Macaca fascicularis: one gene and its partner. The protein of the gene in region 2 interacts with the protein of the main gene of each other region in a pairwise test. Links are inferred from orthologs where the notes say so. Each region holds a gene or a part of one and is shown on either strand. Other genes may lie near its edges.

Evidence for each region.
Region 1: the proteins of BMX (region 2) and PTPN21 interact in binary tests that used the Homo sapiens proteins (3 or more experiments, as listed by UniProt). The link is inferred for Macaca fascicularis from reciprocal best matches to the Homo sapiens genes BMX and PTPN21.

The regions. Positions count from the first base shown.
Region 1 is NC_088381.1:156,520,948-156,524,465, forward strand, and holds part of PTPN21 (tyrosine-protein phosphatase non-receptor type 21), read right to left. Parts: intron 2,975-3,518; exon of another isoform or gene 2,820-2,974; intron 2,127-2,819; 5' UTR 1,928-2,126; coding exon 1,748-1,927; intron 1-1,747.
Region 2 is NC_088395.1:15,309,116-15,313,176, reverse strand, and holds the start of BMX (cytoplasmic tyrosine-protein kinase BMX), read right to left. Parts: upstream 2,812-4,061; 5' UTR 2,681-2,811; coding exon 2,678-2,680; intron 1-2,677. UniProt on the Homo sapiens protein: Non-receptor tyrosine kinase that plays central but diverse modulatory roles in various signaling processes involved in the regulation of actin reorganization, cell migration, cell proliferation and survival, cell adhesion, and apoptosis.

The DNA.
Region 1 (3,518 bases), on a different chromosome or scaffold from region 2:
CTGAGCAGCCTTCCCTTTGCTGCACCTCCCTCTGGCCTATGGCACAACCTCTACTTCCCTTATCACAGCATGCATCATGCCTGTTTTCTTATTGGCAACAACACCAGGGTGAGCTTCCAAGTATGTATGTGCTTGGCACTTATGCGTCTTCAGTACTGAGTTCTCATATAAGTGACTGGATGGTCACCAGGAGAAAGTTCATCTATTCCTGACTTTTTAGGTGGAATAACCAGTTTCTCTAGCTTTCCCTTACCCCAGAACCAGGCAGCCAAAGGTAGGGAGGGTCCTAGGTTTAATTAGAGACCTTTCTTCACAGGCCTTGCATAACATTTTAAATTTAAGATATTATACGGATACATAAGTACTCCATAACTTCCTACCAACTAGATTAGGGGTTTCCTAGGCAAACCTCCCAATCAGTACTCTAACAGTTAGTAGAGCTTATGGCCTTATGCTACTCTGAGAATTAGGTGTCACAGTCATCCCCATGCTTCAGATGGAGAACCGGGGCTCAGAGATATCACATAACTTGCCCAAGGTAATATAGAAGCAGATGGTAAGGAAACTAGAACTCAAACTGAGTTCAGGCAATATGTCTCTAGAACCTTGATCTGACCTATAAGAATATAGTCAATGAATTTTCTGTTTACTCAATGAATGTTGAAAGAATGAAGTCAGGAGCTGGACATGGTGGCACATGCCTATTGCGGGAGGATCACTTGAGCCTAGGAATTTGAAACCAACCTGGGCAACATAGCTAGACCTTGCGTCTAAAAAAATAAAAATGAACAAAAAAGAAAGAATGAAGTCAGTAAACTGTACTAGAGATAGGGATGACCTAGTATATCATAGGGGGTATATTAGAAAATATGAAATTTGAACAACCCAGAGTGTATTCACATTTGATTCTGGATTACGTTTAGGGGGGAATATAAACATATTCAAAATAAGAACCATTAGTTATTATACGGCACCCCAAGGGAAGACTTCTTGCTCTAATCTATTCCTGCTTCATGAGGAGAGAACCTACAGGCTCAACTCAGACATCCCAGCCAGGGACACACAGTGAGTGGCCAGTGGGCTAGAACACACAGCCAGCATGCCGAACAGAGAAGCCTGCAGTGTCTTTTTTTTTTTTTTTTCTTTTTTTGAGACAGTTTCGCTGATGTTGCCCAGGTTGGAGTGCAGTGGTGAGCTCTTAGCTCACTGCAACCTCCACCTCCTGGGTATAAGCAATTCTCCTGCCTCAGCCTCCCCAGTAGCTGGGATTACAGGGGCCCACCACCAGGCCCAGCTAATTTTTTTTTTTTTTTTTTTTGAGCTGGTGTCTTGCTCTGTAGCCCAGGCTAGAGTGCAGTGGCACAATCTCGGCTCACTGTAGCCTCTGCCTCCCAGGTTCAAGTGATTCTCCTGCCTCAGCCTCCCGAGTAGCTGGGACTACAGGTGCCCACCACCACATCCGCTAATTTTTGTATTTTTGGTAGAGATGGGGTTTCACCATATTAGCCAGGCTGGTCTCGAACTCCTGACCTTGTGATTCGCCAGCCTCGGCCTCCCAAAGTGCTGGGATTACAGGCGTGAGCCACCGCGCCCGGCCTTGTATTTTTAGTAAAGACGAGGTTTCACCATGTTGGCCAGGCTGGTCTAGAACTCCTGACCTCAGGTGATCCACCCGCCTCGGTCTCTCAGTGCTGGGATTATAGGCGTGAGCCACCCGCGCCCAGCCTGCAGTCTTTAGGTGGCTTACCTCCCGCAGCTCCAGCCTCTGGGCCACGGCCTCGAGGCTTTCCTGGCCAGTGCTCTCCACGGACAGGGTGAACTCCACAAACTCGTTATTAAGCAGCTGGATCCGGGCAACCAGGCAGCTCTTGCTAGACACCGTGTAGCGCCGGGTGCGTTTCAGTTTCAACCCAAATGGCAGTGGCATCTTCTTTCTTCAAGAGTGGAGGCGCAAAGAGGGAAAAGCTACCCCCACCAACCCAGCGGTGGTGACGCCAGGAGAAATCAATCCTCTCCGAATGGGACGAACACTGTCCGGCCTCCAGCTGCTCACCCAGCAGCCGCTGCCGCCATTAAAAAGCAACGGAGTCTCCAATGGCCCGAGGAAGTGAGCATCGACGCCAGCGCTGGGGAAAGAGGAACGCCGTTACTTAAGCAAAGGTAACGCTGGGCTTTGCTTAATATAAAGAAAAGCCAGTCAAGCTGTGTCCAAATAATAAGCCGTCCCCACCCGCTGGAAAAAGGAGGCACTAACAGGACCCGGGAGGCAGGGTGGAATTTTATCTCAGAGTTGTGTTGGGCTCAGGGTCAGACTCCACCCTTCACTGTATCCTACAAATAGGGATAGCAAGCTAGGCCATCGTCAGGATTAAATGAGATAATGGCCAGCACTACTATAATCCCAAATGTTAGTATTCGTGGTCCTCTTCCTATTTTGGATAAGGTGGTGTTTCTTCATAGGTAACTCTTTCAGGTTGTAGTACTCCAAATGTCAGAGTTCTTTAGTTCTTAAGTGAGAAAAGTGCAAAATACCCCCAAAAGAGCTAGATTCCAGTCCCAATCCCTTTAGAAAATTAACGCTGAAGGCAAATGGGAGGAATAATCCCCACTAAGAATGGCAGGTGTGTGGTTCAGACGCGGTGAGGTGCCTAACAAGCGCTTGTGGAAGTATTCACGTCATCAAATTGATTTACTGATAAACATCATAAAATACCCTACAAATGCTCGTTATCCATTCATTTACCACTGGAAGAGTGGCAGTTCTGAAAATCCAGACCCCGGCCCCTCTCCAGGGTGGGGACGCCCAAACAGGCCTTCACCTAAGCGGAGCCGCGGCCCAGAAGGGGAGGCGGGCGAGGCCTTCCACGCCATCCTGAGTTAATGAGCGGCTGGGGGGGCAACAAACGCAGGAAGCCCACGGGGCCTTGGAGCACTCAGGCCCCGGCTTCTTCCGCGTCCTCCCCTTGGGAAGAGCAAGCGGCGTTGCCAGGACAACCAGTAGACTCGGAGGCTCCGGAACCCTCTTTCTGCAGCCGCGTTTCTGGACGGACGCGCTCTAAAAGGACCGGTCCCTCTGCTCCCGAAAGAAACATTTAAAGGGACCAGCGCGAGCCCTACTGGCGGTGGAGAGGTTGTCATACCCGCTTTGGAGCCACAGGACCTCGAAATACGCTCCTTACAACGTGTTTTATAGAGCGAAGTCTTGCTATGCCACCCAGGCTGGACTGCAGTGGTGCCATCGTAGCTCACCGCAGCCTCGAACACCTGGGCTCAAGCGATCCTCCCGCCTCAGCCTCCCGGGTAGCTGGGACCACAGGTGCGCGCCACCACGCCGGGCTCTAACCGAGTTTTTAACCAGACCTGTTGATGGCAACTTCTGGGCTGAGGCAAATGGGAGCGAGCACCAGCTGGGAATTTTTGTATCAGCTGGATTAGTTTTTTTTCCCCCTAGACGAGTCTACAAAATCCCGGATATTTCCAGGGTCCTGAGACGGTTCCCCACCTTCTTCTGCGCAGAG
Region 2 (4,061 bases):
TTAGAAGTCATTTTACAGATGTAACACTGAGCCCCAGCAGCCTAAGTGACTTAGCCAGTACCATTAACAAGTGCTCTAAGAGGCATGGCCCTGGGAGCCAGCTTCAGGTGTCATACCTGTACAACGTCCACTCCACCGATGGCAGTAAACAGAGTAGGAGATATCTATGTGTTCAGCCAAACATACTACAGCTTTGCTAAGGGACATAGTTTGGTGAAACTACCCATGAATTTGAGTCTTAACAGACCCGTGCAAGAGACATTTTATTGGATATATCAGAACGATGTTACCTATAATCTTTCAATAGGAATCTCCTGCTGAAAGGCAGTGTTAAATAACAAAATTTGAAACCACATTTTGAAAATAGGTAAGAACATACAACCTCAAAAGTTGGAATAAATTCTCAGTGGTACAGAAGGGGAGCAGGAGACAGGATGCCAAGGGAGATAGGGTTATCTAGTTAAATGTCCATTGGATAGTTCCCTCAACCAGGAAGTGTATTCCCTCACTGACTCAGGGTGGTGCCTTTAAAGATTTATCCTTTAAAATTCAGAGATAAGGATAGCAATTCCTTACCCTTTGACTTGGTTTAGTTATCCTCTCTTACTTTACATGCCATGTAGCTAAAGATTTTGGGAGGTGTCAAGATGTTAAAATAATACATGTGGTGGGAAGGCAGTAGAGCAGGAAGGGTGGGAAAGAAAGGGAAGACGCTCCAAGTGGGGCAGGATCTGGAAGGGAAACTGGAGGGCCCTGTGACAAACTTGATCTTCAAATATTTGCCCAAATGCCAGGCCTGCTTATCTTCCTGCTAAATAACTGAACAAAATGTGATGGTAAGTTTAAACAAGAACAAAATGTTTGACTGATAATCAAGTAAAGTGGTTCCAAAAGTCTTATGATGCTGGCCAAAGACAAATACTGGCTTCACAGAACCTGACAGATCCTTATTTCCCATGATGTTATTCAGGAGAGGGAAAGTTAAAGTTGATCTTGGCATGATATGGACAGAAATCTTTTAACATTGACAGTCAAATTCTCAGCATCTTGGAGCATCACACCTTAATTGATCCAAAATGAGTGTATAAAAACCAGACACTTTGGGAAGATCATTTTCTCACAAAGAAGGCAAGAATCTTAATGCTAGTCCTTTTGGAGCTAAGTTTTGCTTTAGGTGTGAGATTAATCTTCAGTGTCCCATAGAGCTTTTCTAAGTCTTTTCCTCTTTTCACTACCCTCTTTCTTTCTGCTCCCTCTCCTCTGCCTAGGGCACTCTCTCTGGGCACCTTCCTTAGGAGAAAAGCAAAAAGCAATAAATCCATGAGCTAGCATCTCATGCTGAATTAAACATGTTACACTGCTTATGTGATGCACGTTGGCGTGAGTGAAAGCAGCGAGCTGGGTTCGAATCCCTGCTCTGTCTCTGTGCAACCTGTCATGTTACTTAACCCAGCTAAACCTCAGCTTCCCCATCTGTAAAGGCAGTGAAACAATAACCACTTCGAAAGGTTATGAGTAGTCGAGAAGATGGCAGCCTAATGCCCAACACCCTAGTAGGTGTCCTAAAAACTTATGTCCCTTCTCATTGCTCCATAGGCAAAGTTTTAAAAAAGACCATAGCAAAGTTAAAAAACTAAAGACAATGAAATGATAATGATCCTTAATGATAAAATTTTACTTCCCATTCCTCTGTCCCCAGCTCCTGTGGATAGGAGATAATGGGAGGCAGGAAGACCTCCTCATGTATTGTCATGTCAACACCAGTCCATAGCAGCTTTGTAGCAGACTTTCCAGCTTGAGACGAGTTACCATAAAATGAGGTTGAACCAGCCCCTTATTGACTGTGTATCTGTGCCACATATGTCCTACAAATAAATACTTGGATGTGACTCAAAGTGTGGTCCGTGCACTTGCATCATCCGGGCGTTCATTAGACATGCAGACTCTCATTTCCCACCTGAGACCTCGCACAGCCAAATCTTCATTTTAGCAAGATCCCCAGGCGATCCATGTGCACAGGAAAGTTTGAGAAGCACTTATATGGACCACAAAGTTATACTCCTTTACAAATCCAATGAAATCATTGTGGCCCACAAAATCTTTTAAAATTATATGGATGTGAGTACAACTGTATGGTTTACCTCCCTCCCATCTGTCTATCTCCATCTAAAATACATAAAGCACTTGATTTAGAGAGACCTCAGGAACCTAAGAGCAAATATTTGTAGCTAAAGTAACATCATAAAAACACAGGTAAAGAAGGTACAAGGAACACTTCTATGTCTCTTTGTAAGCAGTTATGAGGCCAATATGAAAAGCTGTGGAAAGGCAATACCTAAAGAAGAGGATGGAGAAAATTAGCAGAGAATACAGCACAAAGTTAGATACAACTGGTGGTGATATGTACACAACCTGATAGCTTCCCTAACTGAGATTTTGAGCAAGGAGTGAATTTTTACAGTGAAATTACAGCAGTTTCAGCCGTTGGCCTCCAAATTACCTGGTCCCATCTAAAGTCCCAGAGGAAGCCCTAGTAATTTCATATTCAAAATGTTGTACTATTTTTCTTAAAGTGAGCTTCCCAAAGTTTGTAACTTCAGGCCCCACAACACCGGGAACCAAACCTATTTTCCCCATAGTATATGACACTGAGTAGCCACCTGCCGCTTAAACGCACCATCTCGGCTTGTTCCGTGCTTGCCTGGGTCCGCCGTGGTGGTTGGTCTGCTCTTGCAGGAACACAGCTCCAGCTGTCCTGTTTCCAGAAGCAAATTGTTTCACATTTTCCTGGCTGCCGGGTCAGAAATGGCTACATTACTCAGTGCCCCCAACACATTTATTGTCCTACAGAGCCTTACACAATCCCACAGGAAACCACGCTCAACACTTAGCCAACACTTGTTGATCTGATTGAACGCAACAAAAACGGAGACAAAAGCATACTTCATAAAGGTTAAAATTTTGATAACTATAGCTCCCGCTTTTCCCAGGCAGCTCTCGGGTACATGTGATAACCCTGCCTTTGTTTGTAGAGCTCTGTGCTGGAAAGGACAAGAAAACATCTCGGCAAAACCCGACTGCTGACGCTGACTTCTCTCACACGAGCCAGGAAACCATTAGGTAATGCCAAAGCGCACAGAGAATATGCAATGAAAACTTCAACTCAACATTTGGACAAAGGAAGGCCAGAGAATACGTAAGAACAGTTCATATGATGGAAAAGGAGCTTATTTATATATTTTAAATTATTAAGACATCCAGAAATGGAAAATAGATTGTTTTTTCTAAGGTATGGTACACCCTGATCGCAATGAAAAAGTGTGTCACTTGACATCATTATGACAGACTCACAACTTTTGGCTTCCCCCATTCCACCATTTTCTCTGGTGCATACTGACTGGCCTTTTGTAATAAATCTAAGGGCATATTTTATGTCCTGCTATGGATAGCCAAGAGAAGTAATCATCCTTTTGCCATGCATTGACACATTGTGTTTACTTATAAATTGTTGCTTACTGTAACTTATTTGTAAGTATCTATGATGTGAAGAAGTCTTGGGTTGGCAGAAGAGAGTGAAGCTACTGACTTTCAAAGAGGTATTCTTTTGAGTGTACATGGAATTAGCATCATTTCTATTAATTTGTTCAGTCAGGTCTTATTTGAGAACCTGCCATGTGCTGAGCATTCCGTGAGGGCCTAGAGACACAAGAGCAAACAGAAGAGAAGCAGCCCACATCTTCAAGGGGCTTATGTGTATGTGTGTGGGTGGGGGAGCCACAAGTAATGGTTTAATTACAGTAGAGTGTGGGAAAAATAACTTGCAGAAATATTTTTTAATATTTCAGTTTGGAAACTGGAATTTTGGGAAGGGCAAGGAGTCCTTCACAAGAATTCAAAAGAGTGTAACTTACATTCTAATAGCAAATTAAAGTCACTGATGGATTCCAAATAGCTCTCTATTCTTTAGGAATATAGTAGGTAGTCATTCAAAAAATTAAGGGTGAAGCAGGGCAACAGTAGCATAACAACCTGGCCAAATAAATTAATTCTACACTCTGCTA